Rattus norvegicus: one gene and its partners. The protein of the gene in region 1 binds, or shares a complex with, the protein of each later gene. Links are inferred from orthologs where the notes say so. Each region holds a gene or a part of one and is shown in the gene's direction. Other genes may lie near its edges. The genes, in order: Tnfsf13b, Tnfrsf13c and Tnfrsf17.

Evidence for each region.
Region 2: the proteins of Tnfsf13b (region 1) and Tnfrsf13c are in contact, whole or in part, in a crystal structure (PDB 1OQE), measured with the Homo sapiens proteins. The link is inferred for Rattus norvegicus from reciprocal best matches to the Homo sapiens genes TNFSF13B and TNFRSF13C. Residues at the interface, in NP_006564.1 of Homo sapiens: Ser162, Tyr163, Asp203, Thr205, Tyr206, Ala207, Met208, Gly209, His210, Leu211, Thr228, Arg231, Cys232, Ile233, Pro264, Arg265, Glu266, Asn267, Ala268; in NP_443177.1 of Homo sapiens: Asp26, Leu27, Leu28, Val29, Arg30, Val33, Leu37, Leu38, Arg39, Pro41, Arg42.
Region 3: the proteins of Tnfsf13b (region 1) and Tnfrsf17 are in contact, whole or in part, in a crystal structure (PDB 1OQD), measured with the Homo sapiens proteins. The link is inferred for Rattus norvegicus from reciprocal best matches to the Homo sapiens genes TNFSF13B and TNFRSF17. Residues at the interface, in NP_006564.1 of Homo sapiens: Ser162, Tyr163, Lys204, Thr205, Tyr206, Ala207, Met208, Gly209, His210, Arg231, Cys232, Ile233, Glu238, Pro264, Arg265, Glu266, Asn267; in NP_001183.2 of Homo sapiens: Tyr13, Asp15, Ser16, Leu17, Leu18, His19, Ile22, Arg27, Ser29, Ser30, Asn31, Thr32, Pro33, Pro34, Leu35.

What each region holds. Positions count from the first base shown.
Region 1 is NC_086034.1:86,190,391-86,197,313, reverse strand, and holds the start of Tnfsf13b (tumor necrosis factor ligand superfamily member 13B), read left to right. Parts: upstream 1-2,814; 5' UTR 2,815-2,954; coding exon 2,955-3,317; intron 3,318-3,404; coding exon 3,405-3,489; intron 3,490-6,923. UniProt on the Homo sapiens protein: Cytokine that binds to TNFRSF13B/TACI and TNFRSF17/BCMA. TNFSF13/APRIL binds to the same 2 receptors. Together, they form a 2 ligands -2 receptors pathway involved in the stimulation of B- and T-cell function and the regulation of humoral immunity.
Region 2 is NC_086025.1:115,613,922-115,620,844, reverse strand, and holds Tnfrsf13c (tumor necrosis factor receptor superfamily member 13C), read left to right. Parts: upstream 1-2,197; 5' UTR 2,198-2,275; coding exon 2,276-2,420; intron 2,421-2,688; coding exon 2,689-2,892; intron 2,893-3,362; coding exon 3,363-3,541; 3' UTR 3,542-4,706; downstream 4,707-6,923. UniProt on the Homo sapiens protein: B-cell receptor specific for TNFSF13B/TALL1/BAFF/BLyS. Promotes the survival of mature B-cells and the B-cell response.
Region 3 is NC_086028.1:4,810,358-4,817,280, reverse strand, and holds the start of Tnfrsf17 (tumor necrosis factor receptor superfamily member 17), read left to right. Parts: upstream 1-3,508; 5' UTR 3,509-3,624; coding exon 3,625-3,739; intron 3,740-4,550; coding exon 4,551-4,709; intron 4,710-6,923. UniProt on the Homo sapiens protein: Receptor for TNFSF13B/BLyS/BAFF and TNFSF13/APRIL. Promotes B-cell survival and plays a role in the regulation of humoral immunity. Activates NF-kappa-B and JNK.

The sequences.
Region 1 (6,923 bases):
CAGACTAACTCAGTGCATTAAAACAAGGTCGAACTATCTGGCGTTCCAACTGACAGGCCTTACGTGACGGACACCCATAAACCGCCTAAGGACAACGGACACACCAGTGCTGTGCTGAGCTTCACCTAGCAAAGCTCTGATTAAATCATCAAACCATTTCCTGTGCAGGAAACAAACCTTTGAGTTAGGGAGAGATAACTTTGTCTTGTTCATCTCCTAAGAAACCAAAGAGTCATAAATGTGAAGGAGCTGTTTTGGTGTGAACTCTGCAGTGGTTATGCCAACAATGGTGCCTGCCAGCCAGAGGGAGGCTCCCTGGCAACCATTTTTTTTTAAACAGTAGCCATTGATACCCAGTGACACCACTCCCTGAATCAACATCGGATGCTTATTCTAAAATGACCTGAACTCAGATTGCCTGGGCTTTAACTTAAGGAGCTTGACCATGAAGTTCTTTCCCTAATCGAGTAGAAAAGATGAAGGGTGTCCTTTAGCCCGGCTAGATAACTCCCTCTGAATAAACTATACAGAGACCCAAGAGGAAGGTGCTGTGTCTTGGTCTCACACTCCTTCTAGTCATTTAATTTCTGTACGTCATTTGGTAATAAAACATGACTGAGATATGTGCTTGATTTTGAAGCAGTGTTTTACTATGGAGCCCAGGCTAACATTGAACTCACAATCCTCCTATCTCGGCCTATCATGTGGTGGAATTCTAATCCTACCATTAAGTCTCATGAGTGAGTCTTAATGTCTTAGTCTCTGAGTGGAGGTCCCTATTACTACCAGTAGTCATTGCCTGTGATGCTGGACTGAAGCTCAGTCACCCAAATATCGTTTGATGTCAGACCTAAAGAAAAGTCACGGGGCTGGAGAGATGGCTCAGTGGTTAAGAGCACTGACTGCTCTTCCCGAGGTCCTGAGTTCAAATCCCAGCAACCACATGGTGGCTTACAACCATCTGTAATGAAATCTGATGCCCTCTTCTGGTGTATCTGAAGACAGCTACAGTGTACTCATAGATAATAAATAAATAAAATATTAAAAATTTAAAAAAAAAAGAAAAGTCACCCACATACTTAATATCCTATTTTCACTTTGGAGATTAGAGAACAGCTCGTTTGGGGGGTAAAGATTGCAGCCACTGGCTTACAAAGTTCTTTAGAACTCACATAACGAAAGAAAGGAAAGCCTGCAGTCCCAATGAAGAAGACTCCTAGCATCACTCGGGGATGAGTTGGGAAATGACAATCCAACAGCATTTCTTTTTGACACTTTGCAAAAGGGAAGATGTGTCTTGGTGGGGACCCCCTGCAGATATTACTGTGACAATCATAAAAATACCAATTTTAGCACTGAGTACCACAGCAAGAATCCTCCCTCTGTGCTGTGGTGGTGGTGCATACCCGTAATCCCAGCACTTAGGAGGCAGAGGCAGGTGGGGTGGTCTCTGAGTTCTAGGCCAGCCTGGTCTATGGAGAGAGTTCCAGAACATCGAGGGATATGCAAAGAAACCATGTCTTGCAAAAGAAAAGAAAAGAAAAGAAAAAGAAAGAAGGAAAGAAAGAAAGAAAGAAAGAAAGAAAGAAAGAAAGAAAGAAAGAAAGAAAGGAAGGAAGGAAGAAAGGAAGAAAGAAAGAAAGGAAGAAAGAAACTGATCTAATTCTGTAATTGACATAGGGAAAGCCAGGCACAGAAGCAGGATGGGTGGCTGGGAAGCCTCCCTCTGGAGTTCTTGCAGCTGTGCATCCTTGTTTCTGAGATTTTCTTCTTAAGCTTAGGAGGGAAGGCAGCATAAGGCTAAACCCCAGCAGCCTGAAGTTTATACAGTGACTAAGCTAAATCCTCAATGGCCTATACTGAAAGATAAATGGATGTTGAGGTACCAGGCCCCCAACCAGCCTTCCAGACCAGGAAAGACTAAAATGAATGAAACAGTGTCTGCATGTCACCAAGCCCAAGCACAGACTGAAGACATTCTGTGTCCATAGCTGTGAAATGAGTGCCATCAATGTGGAGATCCTACATCAGCTCCTAGCACAGGTCACGGTGTGTGCGTGTGTGCATGTGTGTGCACACGTGTGTGTGTGTGCATGTGTGTGTGCGTGTGTGCATATGTATGTGCACACATGTGTATGTGCGTTGTGTGTGTGCATGTATGTGCATGTGTGTATGTGCGTATGTGCGTATGTGCGTATGTGTGTGTGTGCGTGTATGTGTGTGTGTGTGTGTGTGTGAGAGAGAGAGAGAGAGAGAGAGAGAGAGAGAGAGAGAGAGATCTGAGCCTAACAGCTCTCTGACACCGAGTCTCAAAGGCAAAGAGGAAGCCATGCTTCCCTGTAATCCACCCCACATTTAAAGAGTCCCCAGTGTGGCCTTAAATAGATCTCTACCACGTTCTCTTCGTTGTCATGTCAAGATGAGAGCAGAGAACTTCGGGTGGAGTTCACTCCGCTTTATGACACTCCATTTCGTCTTCCACCGGGGAGCTGTTAGCTTCCTTGTCCTGCAGCCAAATGCAGTTCATGCTCGAGCACTGGGCTTATCTGACTTGCACATTAATTATCCTTTATTACACCACTAGGCCTTCAGTGTCCCCTTTCCTCTTCCTTAGAAACCATGTGGCTCCAAGTAGACAGTTCTTAAGGGCATGCCGAAGGGAAAGCACCTTCGATAAACTTGTCTGGAGTAAGCCAGTCTGAATCTCAAGCTGCTCCCAGCCGTCGTGTCAGAGGCCTCATATCTCCCACAAACAGGACTATATTGAGATAGAATGAAAAATCTTACAAAAACTGAAAGTGAAATGCGGAAGACAGATTGAGCAATCAATGGAAGGCCAGAGCCAGAGAACCTACTTCAGGGTAGCAAAAGATGCAGAAGAGAGAAAGTCAGGAGAGTGCCATGCTCTGAGGGCAGCCTCCTGAGACACAGATGACAGGAAATGACCTACCCCCATGGTCACTTACTCCAAAGGCCCAGACCTTCAAAGTGCTCCTCTTGGAATGGATAAGTCTGCAAAGAACCTGCCACCACCGCGCCTCTGTTTTTGCCCTGAGAAAGGAGAAGATATGAAAGTGGGATATGTTCCCATCACTCCGCAGAAGGAGGGTGCCTGGGTTGGGATCTGCAGGGACAGACGGCTGCTGGCTGCTACCCTCCTGCTGGCTCTGTTGTCCAGCAGTTTCACAGCGATGTCCTTGTACCAGTTGGCTGTCCTGCAAGCAGACCTGATGAGCCTGCGCATGGAGCTGCAGAGCTACCGAAGTTCAGCGACACCCGCCGCCCCGGGGGCTCCAGGGTTGTCCGCGGGAGTCAAAGTGAGTTCACTCCCCCGCTCTGCCTGTGCAGGAGCACCAGGTATGACACTCTGCTGCTGTCCAGTAACTGGTTGTCTCTATTCCCAGCTCCCAACACCCGCAGCTCCTGGACCCCACAACTCCAGCCGAGGCCAAAGGAACAGACGCGCTTTCCAGGGACCGGAGGAAACAGGTATGACTGGGGCACAGCAGTTAGGAGCTGGGGCGGTGCTGTGCACACCTGCACCCGCCCGGCGGCGGCGGTGAGCAAAGCACTTTGTGTGGCTTTGTAGCAAATGCAATAGGCTGCGTGGCGTGCCTTCCCCTACACTGAGCAGGGCATGTGGACAGGAGGATAGGGTGCACGTATCCCTCACAGTGATGGTGTGCTCAAGAACTTAGCAGCAGAGTTCTTCCTGTCACCGCAGAGTCATGTGACCACCTGGATCTTGGTTAAGAAGCCATTCCCTAGCATTTTTCAGATTTCCCTTGTTCTAGCAAAGTTGAGGTAGGACAAACCCTGCATTATGAGGGTTTACTAATTTTTTTCTTAACACATACACGCGCACACTCACACGGTGGGGGCAGGTGCAAACCACACAGAAATGGCAAAGACTGTAATGTACCCTTGCCACATGCAACATAATTCCCGCGTAATCATTCTGCTGTGGCTTTGGTGATTTCTGTCCATTCTCTAGCGTTTTGCAGAGTTGGGAGCTACTAAAAATGAACTTTTCTTCTTACTTCATGGGGGAAAAAGAAGCAATACTTGTCTGTTAGCAATACGATTTAACACATCCCTGCTGTTGTCTGCTTTTTTATTCTTATAAAAAATTTACCCGATAATCCGAGTTAAAAATACCTAAAAATAAGTTAAAATAATTTCAACTGAGTTAAAATTAACTTTAAGTTATTAAGTGACTTAAAAATAAACAACAAAAATTATTGAGTTCTAAGTTACATGCTAAAAGAGTGCGTGGAGTTATTACATGCACTGCAGAACTAAACATTTTGCACAAATTTGAAATTTACTGTATTCAGTGTGAGTGACCTTCTATCTTTTTTTGCTGAAATGATTTTAGCATATATAGTGCGATGTATACAATACTAGCACACATGCCACAATGAGGGAATAATAGCACACAGTTACAGAGCATCACATGCTATATATTACGGTGTATGTAATAATAGCTCATAATCACAGTACATATAACTGTATAAGCACTATACCCTGCTTTATTCTGTTTTTTATTTTACAACAAGTATCTCACAGACTTCTTAGTAATTCCCTTGGTCTAATCTACTATTTGTCTTTTAAATAATTATTTTATTGTTACTGTGATTGATACAAGATACACACAAATTTTTTGTGTATCTCTTGTTTCTGAGGAATTATGCATTCGATAGAACCATAGTTTATTATTCGACTTTCTTACTCTGAACTCTTTGGGTCACAGGTTTCTATGTACTCATTAGCATTCCGTCCTTATACCTTCATTTTGATAGTTTTATAGCTTCGCCTTGCTTCTCAAGTTTAAGTGTGAACCCCATTCTCTAATTGTAAATATTTTTCACGTGTTCTTATTTTACTTTCAATTTTATGTTTTTTTTAAGTTTTGTCGATTGGCTGGCTATCTAGCCTATGTTTTTTTTTTTTTTTTTTTTTTTTTTACAATTTGACGTTGATGTAAATACTTGCACTGCGTCTTGTATTTTCTTCAAACCTATAGAGAGGTGTGGTGTGTTTATTAAAGAGATTCTTGTTTCCGCTGGTTTAAGTTAAAGCCCCTGGCTCCCTAAGTAGCAAGCTACGATCCCCTTTACTTGCCTCTTGTTTTGACTAAGTGTCCCTTTGCTCCTAACCTATTAATCCTGTGTCTCTTATTGTGGTAAAGCCTCTCACACTGGTATAACTTCCTCCTTTCTCCATCCCGCTTCAGGCTGTTGTCTCAAACAAAAGCATGAAAGTGTTCTCCAGAATGCTTGTGCTGGTGAACTTGGGGCATCAAGTTCTTTATACGCGACTGAATTTATGTGAGATAGTTTTATCGCCAGCTTCTTCCTCTACCCTTCTGCTTCATATGGACTAAGTAGTTTTACATTTTAGTGGACATCAATACACAGTCAGGCAGGGTGCCACAGTGATCTTAAGTCATGTCTCCTACACTTCCAGGCTTCCTAAAGACTGGTTTCAAAAATAACTTTGCCATTCTAAAGAGGACATAGACTCATTTTAAAAGGTTTAAGAGTAAAGAATAGGAGAGAATTATGGTGTATGTCTTTAATGCCAGCACGTGGGAGGTAGAGTCAGGCAGAACTTTGTGAGTTCAACACCCAGCCTGATCTATATGGAAAGTTCTGGACCAACAGGGCTACATAGGAAGAAAAAGGAGAGGGGGAGTGGGGGAGGGGGGGAGAGAGAGAGAGAGAGAGAGAGAGAGAGAGAGAGAGACTAGGTTAAATATCCTATAATGATATATTTTAAATAATTTTCACATTTGCATATTTTATAGGTTTGTGATTTTGTGCATCCAAATATTTCAGGCTGACGAAACTGGAAGAGGAAAATTAATTAATAATTTGTAAAATTTAAAGAATAATGTACTGTCAATATATGATACACATATTTTGTTTTTTCTTCATTTATATTTCCCCAATACTCATAAATCCAAGATAAGAAAGTTGCAGATCTGAGTCTCAAGGAAGGGAAATGTCTCCTGTTCCTGGACAATTAAAGTATCGACTCTTGTTTCCTATACTCTCCTTCTGAATTAGGGAAACGTACTTTATCAGTGACCACTGTGATTATCTACTAATCCACAAAAGTTATCTGAAACACAAGGATTTTCTATTGGTTTACTGGAGTCTTATTTTTTTATTGATAAAAGCGTGTTTATTTTTGTAAATTTTGTTACACCTGGTTGTTCTGACTGTTTTCTTGGACTTGAACTAACCTTGGTGTGTTCCTTTTACTTTCACAAGTGTCCGCTGAGGCTTTTACTGGGAACTGCTTACATCTGTTTCTGAGCTGTGGGTATCTCCATTCTCTCTCTTCTGACAGCAGTAGAAGAGAAAGGCAGACCCACACAAGTCCTCTGAGTCCTCTGGGGATAGAGTACTTTTACTTAATTTTAAAACAGCATTTTGGCATACTTTTTTAAGTTATTTTGAATTTGAATTATATTTTATTAAGCTTAGTGCATTTTATAAGGTCATTTTATTGCAATACGATAAACAGAAATGTGGGGAAATCCAGGATTAAACAATTGCCAAATAGCTTATCATAACCAACAATTCACTCTTAATCCTTTAAATGTGTTTGGAAAGATTCTTAATAATAATAAGAGAAAAACCTAAAGCAGCATAATCTGAAAATATTACATAATCCAGTTTCCTTAAAACTGCCCTCACATTGGCCTGTGCTTTGACCCTTCACAAGCTATGATTTTATCCGTTTCACAGTCCACATAAGAATATCTTTAGAGCCTACGAAGGTGACTTCTTTCAAACAGCTTATGGGCAAACGAAATTAGCCTGTCATCCCAGCTACTCTGGAGCTAAGGAAGGAGGATCACATGATGAGTTCAGTCCCTGCCTGAGGCAGCCGAGTGAATCCTGCCTCAAATC
Region 2 (6,923 bases), on another chromosome or scaffold:
GAAACCGTCCAAGTAGAGATTCAAGGACCACCACAGCCTCTGCCCCCACCCCACCTCAGAGGTTCAAGTGAAAATGTCTGGCTGAGGTCAGGCACCTGGACACACCACAGACAAGAATCCCACAGGCCTCCCTCGGCTGCCTCTAGCTTTGCCTGGCGCCTGTCTCCATTGGACCCGTAGGAAATGCCTGACAATCATTTGTGTCAAGTGACTAATTTTGCGCCCGTCCTTCCAGACATCAAACCTCCCTCTCTGGCTGAGGCGAAGGACTTTGTAGTTGTGACTGTGAGTGCCAGCCCTCTTGCTTGATACCCCGAGATGACCTCTGTCTGCTGTCAGAACCGGAACAGCTAGGGATCTTCTGTAGTGAAGTAACTCCTGCTTGCAGGCTGGCTTCCTGGCTGTTATCCTGGCCCTGGGTTCCCACAAGCCTCAGTCCATTCAGCTCCAGTGCCCGACACAAAAGCTGGGATGCCTGGTGCATAGGCAGGACTCCATGGCCCTAAGAGTGACAAGTAACAGCAGCCCAGTTAGTGACAGAGGTAGGTGTGGGCAGAGGGTTGTGGCGAAGTTTCTAGTCTTACCTTCATGCCTCTGTCCTATGAGAAAGGAAGGGCTGTCCCTGCCCTGGCTCCTCTCCATACCCTCCCCCTCCCCCCACAGCCCCATACACCCACACTAACACCCACCCCACCCCCCAGACCCCACTTCTCCTTTGCAGCTACCCTGACGCCTACACCTTCCTGCTGTGGAGTTTCTGGCCCATAGGCAAGGGGATGGACAGGCAATGGGCCAGAACCCCTAGATTGGCTGGGTCCTCAGGATCTCCTCTTGCCAATTCTAATCCCCTCACCCTATGATCAGCTCTGCATCATCCCCTAGTCTGGACCAGAGCACCTGCCTCTGTGCCTCTCCACCCAGTCTCCGACCTGAAGCAGCCAAAGGGCCCTTCCCACTAAAGTGCAGGGCAGAGAGAGACACACACTCAAAACACATGAGGTCTCCTCCATGCCAGGCCTCACACTCTGGCTGGACCCCATCCGTCCATAACAAAGGTGCTCTCCCCTCTTGCCCAGCATCCCACAGCAGTGACTAGGTCTGTTTCCAGTATGTGTAGCCCAGAGGCCATGTTTCCCCATCCCTTGAATCTGTTAAAGACATCCCTAGGTCACTAACCCTGAGAGCTCAGAGGTCTGTATGACCTACCATGAGGTCCACCAGGAAACTCCAAGCCCCAGGTCCTAGCTGACAGCTCCTCTGGCATTTTCCAGCCCAAGACCCCTGGGGAGGAGGCTGCGTATATCCAAGACCCAGAGAGCTTTGTGTGACTGAGGCTGGGTCTGAGAGATGCTGATGAGAGACAGGTGGGAGAGAACACGGGTGGATGGGTGCCAGAACCTGATACAGCAGGGGCCTGGCAAGGCTCAGATGTGAACAAGTTCATGCCCTAGGAAAGGAACTGGGGAACAGGGAGGTCCCTTGCTAATCCGCAGGGCTCCACTTGCTGAAAGTTTGTGTGGCTCCCTAGCATCCTGCTCTACCAGAGCCCAAGCCTTCTGCTATTCCAGCCTGTCCCACAGGTCACAGGTCACCTTAGCCTCCCCATCTATGACACCAGGCTCTGCCGACACTGGCCCCTTGTCTTCACCTCTCTACCAACTCCATGGCATTTTGTCAGTTAAACCTTCCTGTTACTGTTGTTGGTGATGACTTGCGTTGGTGGTCCTCAGGCCCCACACCTTACCCACTCCTGTGGAGTCCAGGGTGGCGAGGACAGGCAGTGTGCAAGGATATGGAGGACTAGAGGGCAGTGAGACTAGGAAGTCTTTTATAGGTGTTCCTCCACTGTGGCCATTCTGCCAGGCCACTCAAGACTGTTGATGTCTCGACATTGGGCAGAGCAGGAAGCAGGAGGGACTTGGAGGCAGAGAGTTAGTGGAAACAATTGGTCTTAGTGAGGCACAGCAGCAGGGGCCTGGGGAGGGTAGGTGACTGCAGGGTCCCTCTGCTGTCCAAGAGCAGGCTCTAGTGTGACATCCTCCCAACCCCCAGCGCAGAGGATGCTCAGCTGTCTGTCGTGTCTGCTGTGACAGTTGAGTGGTTTAATGCAGGAACTACAGGTGAAAGAGGTCTGGGGTTCCAGGCGAGGTCGCAGCTCCACCCCAGTGGTCCCACCCCAGCAGGCAAGGGCGGGGCGGAGGATGCTGCGTCGCGGTTTCATTCTAGACCAGAGAGACCCAGAGCCCAGACTGTCCCAGCTGCATGCGGCGGCGACATGGGCGTCAGGAGGCTCCGGGTCAGAAGCCGGAGGAGCCGGGACAGCCCGGTGTCCACCCAGTGCAATCAGACTGAGTGCTTCGACCCTCTGGTGCGAAACTGCGTGTCCTGTGAGCTCTTCTACACGCCGGAAACTAGACATGGTAAGCAAAGGCATGGGGATAGGCGTGACCTGTCCCGAGGTCTCCAGCCTACCAGGCGTGCTCCTCTGCTGACCCTGGAACCAGCGGGCCCCCTCCCCCATGGCCCTCACTGTTAGCCTCTCCCTCTTCCTCTCCCTGTCTCCCTCCCAGCCCCTCATCCCCTCATCCCCTCACCTCCCATCCCCTCACCCCTTCATTCCCTCACCCCCTCATCCCCTCATCCCCTCATCCCCTCATCCCCTCATCCCCTCATCCCCTCTACCAACAGCAAGCAGCCTGGAGCCCGGGACAGCTCTGCAGCCTCAGGAGGGCTCCGGGCTGAGACCCGATGTGGCGCTGCTCTTCGGTGCCCCCGCGCTCCTGGGACTGGTGCTGGCACTGACCCTGGTGGGTCTGGTGAGTCTGGTGGGCTGGAGGTGGCGGCAACAGCGCAGGACAGCCTCCTTGGACACTTCCGAAGGAGTCCAGCAAGGTGAGAACTGCATCTTGGGGAGTGTAAGGGCGGCTGTGGTGTGGAGGCCGCAACCCTTTGGTGATTAAGAGAGGTCAGAACGAGGACACAGGACTGAGGGAGTCCTGGAGTTGACTATGAGGCTGTCATAAAGCAGGGAGTACAGCACAGCCCAAACCTTAATCCAAGCAAGAGGATCCAGAGCCCAAGAAGAGATGTTTGGGATGAAGGTGTCTGCCCTGCCCTTGGAGAACCCAAGGGCCCTGATCCTAGGTTATGCCCAGTGGGCTGACCAGACACCCCTCTTCCAATGTTTAGAGTCCCTCACCTTTCATCAAGTCTCTGGACTCAGCACTTCCTGTCTTGAAGACTTGTCATGTGCTGTCCCACTTCCTCCTCCTAGGGCTGTCCCAGAGGAAGCTTCTAGAACAGGCGTTGGGGGCGTGGGATTCAATCCTGATCTTTCTTACCTGGTCCTTCTCCCACCCCAGAGTCCCTGGAAAATGTCTTTGTACCCCCCTCGGAAACCCTTCATGCCTCAGCTCCTAACTGGCCTCCATTCAAAGAAGATGCAGACAACATCCTGTCGTGCCACAGCATCCCAGTGCCAGCCACAGAACTGGGCTCCACTGAGCTGGTGACCACCAAGACAGCTGGCCCTGAGCAGTAGCAGCAGCGGAGAAGCCCAGGGAGCCCTACTGGGCTCATGGACTTTCACCCAACAGCTTGGAAAAGAAAAGAATTCAACCCTTCAGTGATGGAGACCTTTACCTGGGGCTGAACCCAGCAGAACCAGACACTACAGGCCACAGGCTCCCACCCGCAGGAGATTGTTTCCGTGTTAGCTTTGGGCTTGAGAACATTCCATTTTTGAGGTCGTTTTTTTAAGTTTGTGTGCCTTCCGATGGTTGGGTAGGCTTAAGTGCTGAATATTAATCTCTTTAATGAGTCAGAGACTGGAAACGAAAATCTCTTTCTAAAAATTTTGGATGACGGACTGGAGACGTGGCTCAGCAGTTAAGTATATGTGCCGTCCTAGAAGAGAACTCCAGTTGTTCAGTTCCCCAGCACTCATATCTGGCCGCTGAAAACCACCCGTAACTCAGCCCCAGGAATATCCTTGTCTGTAAAGGAACCAGCTCTCACAGCTCCAGTTTGTACACACACACACACACACACACACACACACACACACACACACACACACACACACACTTTTACAAGTTATCAAATATAAGATGGGCATGAATGGTGGCACAGGCCTTTAATCCCAACACTGGGAGGCAGAGGCAGGCAGATCTCTGAGTTGGAGGCCATCCTGGTCTACATAGCGAGTTCCAGGCTAACCAGCGCTATATGGTGAGACCAGGTCTCCAAATGATACCAAAACTGAAATCTTTTTAAATTCTGATTTTTTTCCCTTTATTATTATTATTTTTAAATTCATCTCACGGTGTTTAGAAGTGGTATACTTGGATGGTGACTAAGATGAGGTCAAGCCATCAGGACCAAGCCCCCAAGATACAAAGAGAGACAAGAGACAATGAACACGCCCCCTCCCGCCGCGTGATGGGCTGTGCCAACTCTGGACTTCACCAGACAGAGGGCAATCATCAGATGCCGGCCCTCGAACCTGAAGAGCTGTAAGCTAAAATCAATCTCATTCCTTCATAAAGTTACTCAGCCTTGGGCGTTTCGTTACAGTAATATAAAACTGACTAACACAGGCGCTATGAGTAAGAGGTTTTTTCCTTTCAGCTGGGGGCGGGGAAGGTACTGTTAAACCAAAATTAATCTAAATAAAGAAAGGCTGTGGGGAAGATGCATAATCTGTACCTGGGTGCTGTGTTTTTTTAATTCCTGCTGTGGGCGCTGTTCTGCTTTGAAGCAGCTGCTGATGGTCGTTGGGCTGTGGTATTTAGTACAAGATTCTCTGTAATTTTATCTTTCACTGTACTGGGGACCAGACCCATGCTACACAGCACTCCACAGTGAGCTACACCCTAGTTGTAAGATCAGTTTTCAGAATAAGCGGGGAGTAGAGGAGAGGCCTGGGCAGAGTAGTGCTGAGTCTCTGGTGTCTGTAACCCATGGATTTCTTTGACCGAGTCTGCCAGGACATGTAAGATGCCATCTTCACCATGATGGCTGTTTCTAGAGACCTGTGATTCATAGGCGGAGGTCTGTAGTCTCGGGTTGGAGTCTAAATGGAAGCTGATGGAACATCCTGGTGGTAATCTTTCTCAGAGGCCAGCTGGAGGCCACTATGAGCAGTGCGCTGGGCAGTGACCTATGCAGCAACTCCCTCACAGAGAGGCCAAGGCAGGCCTGGGGCTCTGCAGCAGGCCGAGCTCAGATCCTTTGTGCTCTTTCTGTGAACCGTTCTCCCCTTGAGCTGGGCTTTCTTGGCCTAGCTTGTGCTGACCCGAGGCTCGACCACCCCTGTGGAAGCTGCCCCCCAACCCCCGACAGTGAGGCTCTTGGCTCTGAAGCTACCAATTCTCTCTATCTAGTTCCTGGGGTACATTGCACACTCAGAGGGAGCCATCATGCCTCCTGCCTGCCCTCTTCCTCACAGGGAAGCCAAACTTTAGCTTGTATAGGAAGGGAATCAGAAGTGGACCCATTCTGCGGGGTCTTGTCTGAATCCTGGCCCTGCCTTCCAGTCCCTCTGAACTCACCACAGCTGCCTGGCAACACTTGGCTTTCCCGCACACTCCCTTTCTAGCTTAGAAAATGGTACCCAGTGGCAGTTAGAGCCTCCAGGACCTGAACATTCATTTCTAAGATGCCCCTCTCTCCAGGGGTCAGGCGAGGAGTAGGGTGAGATCGAATGACAACGGTAGGTGACACAGGCATCAGTCAGGCCATTGCTGTCCACTCTAGCCTGGGGCTGGTGGAGTCTGAACTGTCCCTGGCCACCTGGCTATAACCAGGGTCTAGGCTCTGGGGGTGAAAAAAGCTAGTGAAACCCCCATGGGGCCCTGACATACAAACCTTTGGCACCCCTCCATCCCAGCTAAGCCTCTGGCTGGTACATGGTTTCCCTCAGTCTCAGTTTCTTTTGAGAAATGGGGGATGGGTACAAAGTTCTCTCTCTGGTCTTCGGCCAATAAAGGAGAAGAGTGGGAAGGAACCTGAGAGAAGTCACACACACGTCCCCATTTCATAGTGAGGACACCGAAGACCAGGCCGTGAGAGAACCTGGCATCGTCTTTGTCATAATTAAGAAGGGAGCTCTTTGGGAAAGGCAGGAAAAGCAATTGGAGGGGGAAAAGGAGTGGGGACACTACCCCCCCACACACAGTGGGGACACTACCCCCCCCACAGTGGGGACACTACCCCCCCCCCACACACACACAAGGGCTGTACTGCCAGACAGTGAAATTAGCACTCCCTACTCCCACCTCCCCCACCCCCTTCCTCCTTGTCATAGGTGTTACTTTCTGAGGGGTCCTTGTCCATTCTGCACTTCATCTCCCTAACAATGGCTGGAAGTGGGAAGGGACTCATGTCTGGTTAAAACAATTAGTAAAACCTAAATCAAGGGACTCTTTTGCATGTGAGCTGAAAGGGTCATCGTGATGTCCTCAGTGGAGGCTGAGGAGAGCTGGCCGTGGCCCAGAGAGGACCAGCCTCTGTGTATGCTGTCATCTATAATGTCAGCTATAACCGTACTTGAAAGTCCCATCTCGGGTCAAAGACAGCTCTCGGAGTAAAGGTGCTTGCTGCCAATCCTGGAAACCCAAAAGTGATCCCAGACCCACGTGGAGGAAAGAGAGTCCTGACTCTTGTAAGCTCCCATAAGCTGTAACTCCGCTAGTGTACACTGCCCCCCTCCCCCAGCTTTTTCCTTCCAAGTTCCATCGTGAAAGTCACATTCAGTAGGTTTCTGTCTTTAAACACTCCCAGTTGGGCTTTTTGACGCTTGTCAAGTTTTCCACCTGAGCATCTGGTCCCTTGAAGGCTCTGCTGGTGTCACAGGCACAGAGCAAGCACTTCCTTTCTGCAAAACCTCAAGTGGTGTCTTTTTCCAGAAGGACCAAAGGGAC
Region 3 (6,923 bases), on another chromosome or scaffold:
AATGGGTTGGGTCCTCCTCATCGATCACTAATTAGGAAAATGTCTCCCAGGCTTGCCTACAGTCTGGTCTTGTGGAAGCATTTTTGTAAGTGAGGGCCCCTCTTTTAGATGACTTTAGCTTGTATCAAGTTAACATAAAACTAGCCAGTACATCCCTCTCCCCTCACCACACTCCAAGACACTATGGCTTTCTTGTCTCCACCTGACTTCTTGGGCACACCTCATACCAAGTGCCTCCTCATCCTCTTCACCCATGTTTAGGGCTCCAACATTAGTGCATCAGACCTGATCATATGCAAAGTGTATCCACTGTGTAAGCCTCCCTGAGATGCTCTTGCTGTTTGGCTGTGAGCGGCTATCATCCTGGTGCTCTCTTGCTTCTCCAACTGTTCTGGTCCTGCTGTTGGCTTGTCTTTCGAGGTTCCATTTTGGTAGGAGCTGAGCATATAGGACTTCCTAGATGAGCCACTGCTGCCCTCAGTGATCCCACTCTCTTGATACACTGTCACCTCCTGTGGAAGAATCTGACTTTAGATCCATTTCTTCATTGGAATTCTGTTTGTTAATGAACTAATGTGTGTGTGTGTGTGTGTGTGTGTGTGTGTGTGTGTGTGTGTGTGTGTGTGTGTTTGTGGTGGACATGTGTGAAGAAGACAGAGAGGACACTGGTGTCTCCTCTATCTCTCTCCACCTTTTAAGACAGGGTTTCTCATTGAATTGGAAGCTCATCCTTAAACTGCAAGCCTCCTCTCTGCGTCTGCCAAGTTCTGAGATGACAGGTATGCACTGTCCAAGGCAGGAAGAGAGCGTTGTTAGTTTGAGGACAGCCTCGGTCACATAGTGAGTATGAGATCCTGTCTCAAAAAATCAAAACACAGAAAACAAGCACACCAAAATAAAAACAAGAACAAACAAACACCCCCCCCAAAAAAAAAACCCCAAAAGAACAAAAAGAAAGAAAACCTACCTGGAAAAAACAAAACCAAATAAATAAAACCCAAACCAAACTGAAGTGATTCTGATTAAGTAACAAGGAAAAGGCATGAGCAGATCTGTTCAGTCTGCCTGCCTTCTGTCCCTGTCTCTGTAAGGAGTGCTGTCCATCAGGGCTGCTCAGAGAGAGCGCATGCATCTCTCCATACTTTAGGACATGTGGAAAGCTGCAATTGTTTTTAGGCATCTGAATCACAAACCATTTTCTTAACTGCCCATTATACTTACAAAGACGTCAAGGGTGGAATGAACACAGGTTTTGGCTTATAAAATGTATTACAATTGGTAACTTATAATTGTTATTATTAGTATTAGTATTGATAGTAGCAGTTGTTTTTGAGGCATAGCCTGGCTGCTCTGGAACTTGATATGTAGACTAGGTTGGCCTTGAACTCATGAGATCTGCTTGCCTATCTCCTGAATGCTGGGATTAAAGACATGTGCTACTATGCCATGTCGACATATATGTTTAATTCGTGTATACCTTTGTTTAACCCTGTGAGTGCAGGTATATAGATGCATGTGCCTATGTGTGTTGGAGGACAGGTGTCAAATGTCTTTTATGACTCATCACTCATTCCTTTGAAACAAAAGACTGTCCCTTAGCTGAAGCTCTTGTTTTATCAGGTAGGCTGTAAGCCCATAAATCCCAGCTGAAGTTATAAGTGTTTTATGTGTGTACTGGGATTCCAACACTGGTCCTCGTGACTGCCCGAAAAGTGTCCCTAACCCACCAAGTCATCTTTGTAGACTGAGTACATAATAATCTGTCCTACAGAGTATCTACCCAGGCTTCCAATAGGTAAGCCACACAGCCCTTGAAGTTTCCAGGATAAGGCAATGGCACGGATTCATTCATTCATTCACTCACTCACTCTCTCACTCACTCACTCACTCACTCACTCACTCACTCACTCATCATTCATTCACTCACTCATTCACTCACTCACTCTCTCACTCACTCACTCTCTCACTCACACTCACTCACTCATTCATTCATTCATCATTCATTTATGTTTTTCAAGCCAGAGTTTCTCCAGGAAACAGTCCTGGAACTTGTACTGTAGACCAGGCTGGCCTTGAAATCACAAAGATCTGCCTGCCTCTGCCTCCTGAGTGGTGGATTAAAGGGGTGTGCCAGCACAACCTAGTTCAATCATGTATTTTTATTTTTATTTATATTTTACTTTATGTGTCTGAGTGTTTTGCCCACATGTATGTCTGTGACCATGTGTGTGCCTGGTCTCCATGGAGGCTAGAAAAGTGTAGTGGATCCCAGGGGCTGGAGTCACAGATGGCTGTGAACTACCATGTTCACAGGGTGCTAGGATTCAGAGCCAGGTCCCTTGTCTGTCCAGCCAGTGTGATTGCTGAACCATCACTTCAGCCCCTAAGGTAGTCTCATGACAAGGTTGCTTCAGTGTAGTTCAGTGGGCCTCACTACCCATGTGCTTTTATCCCATGCTTTGGTGGTGGCACACATCTTTAATCCCAGCACTTAGGAGGCAGAGGCAGGTGGATCTCTGTAAGTTAGAAGCCAGCCTGGTCTACAGAGTGAGTTCCAGGACATGCAGGACTACTTAGAGAAACCCTGTCTCAAAAACTAAAACAGGGCTGGGGATTTAGCTCAGTGGTAGAGCGCTTGCCTAGCAAGCACAAGGCCCTGGGTTCGGTCCCCAGCTCCGGAAAAAAAAAAAAAAACCTAAAACTAAAACAATTTTTTTTTTGAGACAGGATCTTGTTGGCTTTCCACTGGAGACCGCCTTGCCTCTGCCTCGTGGGTCCTGCGGCTATAGGCATGGCTCCGTGACACTCAAGTTTGAACCCTTAACTCCGACTTTACAGATCGCGTAGGATACAGCATATGTGCATGAGCCGTAAGTCCAAGTCTCCAATCATCTCCAGGGGATGGTAAGGCTCGCTTCTTTCTGAGGATGTGTCTTGGATTATTGTTTTTGTTTTTGAGACAGGGCCTCTCTATGTAGCACTTATTGATGAAGCTGGCCTCAAACTCACAGAGACCCACCGGCCTCTGTGTCCGGAGGGCTGGGAGTGAAGGTCACACCTCTGCACCCGCGGGGATGCTATTAACTGTCAGGACACAGTGCCCTCAGATGAGCCCCGTCAACCTCCTGCTTTAACTCAACTGCCAAAGGACACCTGGTAGCCAGAGTTGACAGCTCCCTCCTGTCTGTCCTCTGGGTCAGCCACTGCCACCACTGGCTCCAGCCTCCAGTTTGTCTTCCCTGTTGACATTAGGTATGTAAGGGATGCAGTCCTCGTCTTGCCTGTCTTGTCATACAGCCCCAAAACAGATGATCCATAAATGGCAGCTGGACTTTCAGCTTGACGCCCCAAGCTTGTCCACATTGCAACTGCTACCTGGGTGGTGACTCTCCTCTATAAATAGGTGGTTTCTGTTTCAGGAATGGTTTGCTGTGATATACCCCTCTGCTGCCCCGCCCAAGCCTCTTAGAAACGGAGGATCAGAAAGAGAGGTATTCAGATCCTCCACCCCGATACCTGCAGCCCTCCTAAGAGCAGTCAGGATCTTTCTCTCCACAGAGAACCTGCTGTCCTTCCACACTCTTTTGTCTGTTCTTCCCGTGTCTTTCAGTGCTCCAGTCCCCCATGGCTCAGCGGTGCTTCCACAGTGAATATTTTGACAGTCTGCTGCATGCTTGCAAACCGTGTCGCCTGCGATGTTCCAACCCTCCTGCACCCTGTCAGCCTTACTGTGATCCAAGTAAGTGCGGCTTCTCAATAGTTGCTTCTTGGTGGGGAGCAGTCTCCTGACATGCTGCCCATCTACCAGAGAGCAAATGTTACAGAGGAGATGGGGAGATTTTTCTTTTCTTTTCCTGAATCAAAACCAGAAAAGATAATTTAAATGTCTCCTGGATCAAAGGGAATTATTCAGAACCAGACTCAATTTTATTTATCAGCTCTTAATTAAGTGGTACTCAGAATTTAAAAGTCAACCAGGGATGGGCAGTGCATGCCTCTAACTCAGTGGTTCTTAACCTTCCTAAGTGGCAACCCTTTGATAGTTGCTCATTTGTGGAGACCATAAAATTATTTTCATTGCTACATCCTAACTGCTTTTGCTACTGTTATGAATCATAATGTCTGATATGCAGGCTATCTGATATGCGACCCCTGTGAAGGCAGCGTGGGCTAGAATAGGGTCCTGTCCCATAAACAACGAAAGGAACTGAGCTGGAGATGAGCTGGTGGCGCACCGGGCTAGCATGCACACAGCCCTGGGCTCTGTCCCAGCAGCCTGTATGGTCGTGGTGCTGCTGTAACTGCAGCACTTACATAGGAGGTGGAGACCAGAGGTCCTCCTTGGATACGGCTGGGTTTGAGGCCAGTCTGATTGACAGGAGACCTTGTCTAAGCCCAAGTAAGATGCTCATGAGTATGCACTAGGGAGTCGAGTGTCAGGAAGGTGTGAATCCTGAGCCCTGGCTGCATTGCTTTGTGACATTCCTTTGATAAAGGCATGACCAGCTCAGTGAGAGGGACGTACATTTTGTGACATTCCTTTGATAAAGGCATGACCAGCTCAGTGAGAGGGACGTACACGGTTCTCTGGATCTTCTTGGGCCTGACCTTGGTCGTCTGTTTGGCACTTTTCACACTCTCTTTCTTGCTGAGGAAGATGAACCCGGAGGCCCTGAAGGACAAGCCTCAAAGCCCAGGCCATCTTGACGGTGAGTCTTGGAATCTATTTCTGTAAGGGCAGCTCTTCCAAGTTTCATTTCCTTTTCTTTTTTTAACTTTGGCTTTTTTGTTGCTGTTACAGCACTTTCAAATGTGTTAGTGGGTAGTTACTTGAAATTTTGAGCTGGAAGCGGTGGCACATGCCTGTCATCTTAGCACGTAGGGAGTGGAGGCAGGAGGATCAAAGGGGTAAAGGGGTGAGGGTCATGCTCAGCTATTGAGTGTGAGCTCAGGCGGGGCGAAGAGTCTCCAAGATGACAACAAACCAAGCCTACCACTGTCCCCCAAACAAAACAAAACAGAGACATTGTGACATCGACCCCTACTTTGCAGGGCTCCTTTCAAGGCCCATCCCCCCAGTTCTCTGGGTAACTGCCTTTGAGACTTCTCTGGAAAGTGTCTTTGACTCAATGTAGCACACCAATGAGATATTGTATCGATACTGGACCACAGCCTGGTACTCTCAGGCAAAGAGTATTTGGCAAGATCCATGATCTTGGTTTTAATACAATTCAAATGTTTTACTGTGAATGTTTTACTGCCCAAAATGCTGAAACTGAATAACCTGGTTCACTAGCCATCTCAAGGATAATTATTAAGCAACAGAGTGCCAGTCTCAGGGAAGTAGATGCTCAACTTGAGGGCCTCTTAGGCTAAAAATGTCTTTATAGCACTGTTCTCTGTGAATTGATTCTTAGACACACAGCAGCCATGGTCCTGAATCCTTTTTCTTATGGTGTGTGTGGTGCATGAAAGTGAGCGTGCACAGGCTCGTGTGCACATGAGGCTACAGTAGGACACTGGTTATCTCCCTCCGTTACTCCCTTCCCTGTTGCCATGAGACAGGCTCTCAGTGGGGCAGAAGCAAGGGGTTTCAGCTTTGCTGTCTCGGTCCCACCTCTGCCACTGGGAGGTTACAGGCACATGCTTGTCACCAGTGCACTAGAGATTTAAACTAGGGTCCTCATGCTGCAAATCTGTATCCACTAAGCTGTGTTCACAGCCCTTGTCCTGCTTCTTTAACCATTTTGTTTCTGCAAAGCACCTACTCCATTTGCTTTCCTGTGCAGCAGGAGTAGCTAGAAACTCACTCACTCTTTTCTCCATGTGGTCTGGTAGACAAAAGAATGCATTTTCATTGTTTTTAAAGTTATATGTATATGTGTATGGCTGAGAGTGGTTTAACCAAAAGCAGGAGCCCCATGGCTGCCTGACCTGGAATGGTCAATGAGTTGATTCAGAACTGGATCACAGACTAGATGTCATCAGGAAGGGGCTTCATATTTTGTGCATGTGAGCACAGTACCTCTGGATGGCAGAAGTGGGCAGGCACCAGATCCCCTCTAGCTGAAGTTACGAGTGGATGCTAGAGACTCAAAGAATGGTATCGTCTCTTAACCACTCAGCCACCTCTTCAAACCTAGAGTGAATTTTTTTTTTTTTTTCTGGGGCTGGGGACCGAACCCAGGACCTTGCGCTTCCTAGGTAAGCGCTCTACCACTGAGCCAAATCCCCAACCCCGAAATTTTTTAACATACAAATTGTACATATAAAAATACATGACATAATGTTCTGAATACAGACACATAGGGAGACAGTGACTACAGTCAAATGCATCCACATCTTCACACAGTTGACCTTTTGGTGATTGGGTCTCATGTATCACCGCTGGCCTTTGACTCTGTATCTCAGGACTACCTTGAGCCTCTCCAGTCCTCATGCGGCCACCTCTCTGGGGCTGGCTTTACAGGTGTGTACTATCAGTCCTGGTTTGTGCTGTTCTGGGGTTGAATCCACAGCCTCCTGGGCAGGCTGGGCGAGCTCTGCCAACGGAGCTCCATCCCCAGCCCTGCTCCATTCCTCCTGGTGGTGAGGGTGGCTGGTATCTACTCTCTGCTATTTGAAGTGCTCCAGTGCTATCCAGTCACCTTGTCACACGCTGGCTCTACAGATGCAGCTTATGTAACTGCAGCCCTGGACTTCCGGCCACCTGCTTCTCATTTCCCCCACCTCCTCGCCTCTGGTAACTACCACTCTGCCATTGTTCTGTAAGTGGCTTCTTTTGCTTCACATGGAAGCAAGGTCAGGCAGGCTTTTCCCTTCCACTTTTTGTGTATTTCTAGAGCAACTCTGAATTAGATGTTTTATTATTTATTTTTATGTATGTGGGTGTTTAGTCTCATACATGTGTGCGTACTACTTGT